Schizosaccharomyces pombe: one gene and its partner. The gene in region 2 interacts genetically with the main gene of each other region. Each region holds a gene or a part of one and is shown on either strand. Other genes may lie near its edges. The genes, in order: ftm6 and SPOM_SPBP8B7.31.

Region 1 (3,389 bases), 3.7 Mb from region 2:
GAACTGTTCCTAAATATCTTATGATAAAAGGAATTAGTATTGTCATTGCTTTATGTTCTGTATACTGGATTTCTTTATATAAAGACGTATATGTAGTATCAGAGATTTTTGACATGATCCAGTATGAGGTATCTCCTGCAATTTGGGTGTATTCTATTTGTCATTTATTGAAACAATGCACGTCTGTAACAACTTACGAAAATGCTTCAAAAGCCAGATTTTTTAGAAGAATGCTAAATGCATTTATCTTTATATTCTGTGCATCTCCAATGTTGCATTACCTGTCGAATATTATATTTGGAAACTTTGATTACAGACTGTCGGTGATCATTGGTGATCTTTTCACTTTTATGGAGAAAATTGCTTTTCCATGTTACATAATGTTTCCCACCCATAATGAAGCACTTGCCTACAATCGAAATGTAGCTGAAGAGGCTCAAGAGAAAATGATTTGACAAAAACCATGGTTTACTTGATTCACCTTTAAAGGGGTTACCGGGATTATTTTATTTATTATTTGTTTATCAATGGATTAATATCCAGTTATTTTAATCTCACTTTTTTACACAGAAATTGTGTAGTAAGTTCATTCTTATTTAATATACCACCTATTTATTTTTTACAAATGAATATTTTTTTACTGGAACGTTTTAAATACACATAACCTTTGAGTCGATGTGAAATAATGTTTTGTTCAAACTTAAAAGTTGCGAATCTGACATATAGACAAAAAAAAAATAAAAAGAAAAAACTGGTTACCTTCATAAACATATTTTGCTAATTTATTGAATTTAATTATTTTCAACTTGCTTTCCCATTTTCCCAACAATTTTTTTATCTATAATATATATTTTACAAAATTAATATAGTACATCGCATGGTTTTCTTTAAAACGACATAAACGTATAATAATAAACGGGGATTCAAAGTAATAAATCGAATCCAAATCAACTTTCAAATACATCCATTTCATCTACTTTACCCTTATATTCCCCTTCATATCCCCAACAAAAAACAGGAATTTGCGAAAGTAGTAAATGGTAAAAGTGAATAAATAGAATCAAGGTTAAAAGCTTACTTGTATGCATAAGAAGATAACTCCCTCCTCTTTACTTTTGCTTAAAAACAGATTCTGAGATTCGGGACTAGCATCGGTAATATAAGTTTTTCTTTCATACTGTTGAGTACTAGCATCAGAACCCTTAATGGTAGGAAGATCATCATCATGACTACGCCTTTGTTCAATCGAGTAAACATTTGCTGGTTCGTGCCAGTCACACTGAGAACAACAAAGTACCTATTATTAAAAATGTTAGCAAGCGATCGCTAACAAGTTGAAAAGTAAACACCTCCAACTATTCCATGGAAAGCATGTAACAATGAAGATCAATGAATGGCTATTAGCTTAACAAACTTGTAAACTCAAAACAGACTAACAACGTTTGTCAGGCACTAAGAGCAATAATGGAACAGACTTCATATCAAACGCTTTCTTGAATGTTCTTACCTTATTCGTATAAACCGGAAGAACAGGCACAATGAGAACCGTTACGGTTTTCAACTGACGACATACTCGGACTAAAAACAAAATGTTATGTTAACATTAATAAGACAAGTTTAAAAAAAAAAAGAAAGAGCCAATTGCTTTCGAAACTACTCAACTTGTTTATTTCTCGTACCAGTCTTCTTTGAACTAAAAAAAAAAAAAAAGCATTAGCAAAATGTGTTGTCAAACGGATAAAAAGAGAACAGGAAGAAGATTGCTGGAAACAATTTTAAAACAGCGAATAAAAAAAAAAGAAAAAATAATAATAATAATAAACAAAATACGAGTCGCTAATTTTTGAAACTAATCGCTTCCAACAACTGTTTCATTATAACTTCACCATTTTAATATTGTCCCCAAACAGCATGATTTAATTCTCTTTCACTAATTTCATACCACACAGGACACGTAAGTAAAACATCCTTATAATCGTCAGTGGATATCCACATATCTCGTAAATGTAATGGCATTGTTAAAAAAAATAAACACTCAAGTGAATAGAATTATGAAGAATTCGAGTCTAGTTCAAAATATTTGTTTTGACAGAGTCCCTCTATTTATACCAAGACTAAGCCTCACAGTGAAATATTGTCTAGCAGTAAAATTGCTGATTTATTTATTATATTGTTGGTACATTTACTCGGAAGTACCATCGGCTTCATCTAAATTCCGATCCTTTACATTTGGATGCGTCGTAGTATATCATAACAAATTTTTTCCTCGTTTCATTAGAACTCACTCCATTAACTCCATTAGAACGTTTTCTAAATTTCAAGTCATTATACTTTTCTCTATTGAGAAAGTCACTAGGTCAGAAAGCAAGAATCATTCTTACTCGAAAACCGATATTAGTGATCTGCACCAGGGCTATAATAATCCACCATCAAGATTCATATCACAATAACAATTCCATAGTATCTTGCTATATACGTGTAATGAGTATTCGATACTGGCTTGATTGCTATTTCTCCTTTGCTTGTAATCGTAAAATTGACTTGAAGATCTAAACCTTCTAATGCAATCATTGGAATTCTGCCTAACCTGATCAAATATGGCTTGATCACCGTTAAGTTAAAAGCAGAAGCTATGCCAATCAGTATGATTGTAACTTACAAAAAAATATAGCACAACGACATACAACATTATGGTACAATAAAGAAGACTTGATATATCAAGAACGAGGTTCAGTTTGTGCTCCGTTTATATTATTGTATTTCTATATATGACATTACTTGATGCAACCGCTTAAATATGTACTTTTGTGTAGTTATACTCGCAAGTACAGTAGCATTTTTAAAGTAGCGGTGATGTTGACGAATGGTTTGTTTCAAATCCATCCATTTCAATTTCAATTGTAAATTTCTCTTTTTCAATTATTAATCAAGTAAGTTGAAGTGTATCAGCACAATAAATTCTGACTATTACTACTCTTAAAATAAAACTCAAGCGAAACTAATTTTTAATAGCAAGTCATATTCTTAGTTTGATATGCTATCCGCTTTGGTTTTGCATTGTTATGACTTTGTATAACCTAATAAGGTGACGAAAAATCAGTTCGTTTATATTTTTGATGAGAAGAATTCACTATTATTACACAGAAAAACATTTACTTCTTATTAGATACCTTCAATATAATATATTTTTTAAATGTAATAGCGACGACACTACCCATAATTTACAATACATTGTATGGTAAACAACTGAGTAGTTGATACACCCGATTTTCATTGAGTCATACACTTTGCGCTTACTATCACTTTATTTGATTAAATGCATAATTTACAAGCCATTCCAATATTTCGCGCACTTTTCGGACATAGTAATAAAAGCCGAGGTAGTTTCG
Region 2 (3,708 bases):
AATTGCTCTGAAATCTGTATCATTGAATCAATATGACTAAGCTGAACTTCCTTGGGCAATACATTAATGTTGTTATTTGAGAAGTGACCAAGCACAACAATTAAAAGAGCAACAGCAAGAAATCCTGTATCCAACGTATCTGAGTTAACTAAACCATCTGCAAGGATTTGGTAACGGTTAGAAAAAACAGATGGAGGATAAAAGTAAAAAAAACTTTGATACCGGAGGAAAAACTCATTTGCATAACGTTCTGCGACAGAAACCGGTGGTAACAAATTATGTGCTATTTTCTTTAGAGCTTTTAATGAAAAAGATGAGTGATTGGAGGTCAAATTTATAATTGAATATTCATGAGTTCCTTGTGAAGAAGCTGAACCTACAGATACTGAAGTAGGGGTCGATTGAAGTGTGTTTAGTTCTAAAGGCAATAAAGAGGAAGAGAGATCCTCCGGAATTTTACTTTGATAGTCAATGAGCAGTGATTCTGGGGTATTGCTTGAATTTAACTGTAAGGATGCTAAAACAGAATTTAAAAAATAAGTGCTTGACGTCGGACTTAAATATATGGGTTCTCCTAGAGCATCTAAGAATGAACGTACAGGAAGTATGGGTTGGGAATTGATTATTAAATTATTGGCACTTCTAATAACCTTATCTTGGTTCACATGAATTGCATTAGCAGATATATTTTCAGTAAACTTGATGGAAGTATTAAGATCAGTGTTTTGAATAGATGAGAAATTTGAATCCGAAGAGGGGGGAGTAGATGAAGAAGGAAAAGAAACGTTTGCTGACTTGACAGCAGACGAATCGTCTTTATTGTTTGTAGCAGCAACCTTTAAAACAGATTGATCAATTGACCCGGGTATTAGCAAAGAACGAACGTCGCTTCCAGAAGCTAATGAAGATTCGACATGTTTGCATAGTTTGACTAAACTACGTGTGTCATGAGGAAGAGAAGGACACAGCAATTCCATCAGATATTCGAAGCATTTCTGCCTTTGACTCAGTTCCGCAATAAATTGTTTTGAGGGAGTACGCTCTTTTAAAGAATCAGCATACTTACATTGCGAAGGCGTAGCAATGCAAGCCTGACATGGTTCAGAACCACTGCATCGAATTTTCTTGGCCCGACAAGACAGACATGCCCGCCTTACTCTTCTTCTACTGTCCAAAGGAACACGCCTTCTTTGTTTATACTCTTCCTCTTTGGCTTCTAAAAACAAAGAACGACTAGAAAAGTCAGAGGGACACATAAACTTCGCATAATAACAATTGCTACATTTAAGATTTTCATATAGGTAAATCAATTTCGCTGTCGGTCACAGGTACCCGAAGGTGGTAAGTAGCAATGCTACTTCAATTTTAAATAGTATGCATCAGCAAAATTAAATTTGCTAGTAAGCTCTGTCAAGTCCCCAGGTTAATATAAATGTATTAAATGCAGTAAAAAAATTTATTGTTTAAATGAATATGTTAATGACAACGATTAATTGACTGTAATTTGGTAGTATACAGTTTTGATCAATTTTATAAAACATGGTATTTACACAGTGTTTTTTGGTATCAGTTTATTTGTTTATTGAGAATATCAAAGACAGTTAAATTAAATAATAATAATTCATAAAAGTTAATGAAATTCAAACATTTGTTTCCTAAGTTTTTTTCATTACTAATGCAAAAAAAGTTGAATATATATATTTTTCTTTAAAAAAAATTGGATTACATCAACGTACCAACTAAAATTGTGTCAATCTTATCGAACTAGCAAACTGGCAGTAAACTTCTTGAAAGCGTTACGGTCAATCTTTTGAACTTGAAATCACTCTTAAAAAGACTTTCATTCTTGTTGTTTACGAACCTAATAACCAATACCATAAAATATCAAGCAAATATGGTAAAAAATATCGAATTCCCAAAATGCGTTGTTTTTGACTTAGACTACACTCTGTGGCCTCTTTGGATAGATACCCATGGTATTAAATCTTTTACTTTGATCTACTTTATGTTTTATTTTCTAACAAAGTTTCACAGTCACTGCACCATTTAAGCCTTCCAAAAATGACCCAGGCGTTTTGATTGACAAATATGGCACAGAGATTTGTTTTTACTCAGATATAACTGGAATTTTACAAGAGCTAAGGAACCAAAAAGTTACTTTGTGCGTTGCTAGCCGTACTTGTGCTCCCAAGTATGCGAAACAAGCATTGAATTTGATGAAGGTACCAATAGATGGAAGTCTTAAGCCGGCTATCGAATTTTTCACTTATGTAAAAGCTTGGCCAGGTATGTCTTTTAATACATTTTTGTCAATACAGAAAATATCAATAATCATATTGCTAACTAGTTATTGTGAAATAGGTAGTAAAATGGATCACTTCAAAGAGATCCACAACGAATCTGGAATTGACTATCGAGAAATGGTGTTTTTTGATGATGAGTCTAGGAACAGAGAGGTTGAAAGACTTGGTGTTACATTCTGTTTAGTTCCTGATGGCCTTAATCGTGCGTCCTTTGAGCAAGGTATAAACAAGTGGAGAAAATTAAAAAAAACTCACTAAATATTCTTTCATTTCTAAAAAATCATATGCATGGTTAATTTTTCTTTTGAAAGAAAAGTTAATCAATTTTGCTTGCATCTTAAGAAAACAACTATCGTGCTTTAACTTATATTTAGAAGTCTCTATTCGAATTGAGATGTATTTTGTTTAATCACAGTATCATTGTTAAAATTGGGAAACACTGATACTACTTTTAATGGGTGAAGAATCAAATTTAGAAATTAAATCTATTAAAGACCTAAATTGCTTCAATCTGTAATATGGGGTTTCTTATGAACTTTCTCTTTTCTTTTTGCAAACTAAGTAAGTATCATATAAATAAATAACAAAAATATATACAAACGGTATAATGTCATATGAGCATAGTTGCAAACCGGTTTAGGAAAACAAAGAACATAACAGAGTAGTTTAATTGATTAATATAATGAATTTTATAAAAATTCTTAAAAAAAATTACATCACTATACACTTACTTTTCTCAAGTAAATATATAATTTTGAAATTATATCTCCATTACATGTTTGTCTAGAAGCATTGCAATATATATAAATCGAAGAAGAAGCAATGTTAAAGTTACAAAGTACGCTCAGTATCCTTTTCAGTCATGTTGCACCAGGCAGCCATTGCGCATTGTTCCGGATATTTCTTTGCTAAAATACTAGAAATACGGCCTAGTGAGGAAAACAGTAAATCAGTACATTCCTCATTAGCATACCTCTTTGACATGTTTTCCATATATGATGTTACGGTATCCAAGTCTTCAGGCCACAAAAAGTTATCATCTTTGCGATAGGATTCCATAGAAGGGTGTGTCAAAAGAAACGATCCGACATGTTCGTTTACGATGTTCATAACTGAACATGCGATTTTGGAAGCGGGAAATTTGAATAAATTAGGTACAAACATTGATGCATCAAGTACTAAGAAAAAAATCGGGTCTAAAACAGGAATATACGAAGCTGGTGTAGGGATTGAGATATCCCAATCAAGAGTATCAAGTATGTGGCGTTCCATACGAATAAATAAATCCTCAGCATAGATGTTTTTACAAGCTAACTTCAGTTCTTGCAATAATGGAACACGGTCTTCTGTTTCATGAAATTTACTGGCAATCCAAAGACAAACACATGCTACTAACTGAATGTGT

Evidence for each region.
Region 1: mutations in SPOM_SPBP8B7.31 (region 2) and ftm6 together harm fitness less than expected from each alone (positive genetic interaction), as found in Schizosaccharomyces pombe (one large-scale study listed by BioGRID).

Annotation. Positions count from the first base shown.
Region 1 is NC_003423.3:8,560-11,948, forward strand, and holds ftm6 (transmembrane helix domain-containing protein), read left to right. Parts: upstream 1-2,009; coding exon 2,010-2,450; 3' UTR 2,451-2,792; downstream 2,793-3,389. Other genes in the region: ftm5 (transmembrane helix domain-containing protein), read left to right, coding at 1-455.
Region 2 is NC_003423.3:3,696,439-3,700,146, forward strand, and holds SPOM_SPBP8B7.31 (acid phosphatase), read left to right. Parts: upstream 1-1,752; 5' UTR 1,753-1,894; coding exon 1,895-1,976; exon of another isoform or gene 1,977-2,034; coding exon 2,035-2,286; intron 2,287-2,355; exon of another isoform or gene 2,356-2,361; coding exon 2,362-2,481; exon of another isoform or gene 2,482-2,534; coding exon 2,535-2,599; 3' UTR 2,600-2,908; downstream 2,909-3,708. Other genes in the region: DNA-binding transcription factor Thi5, read right to left, coding at 1-1,256; G1 cyclin Puc1, read right to left, coding at 3,135-3,708.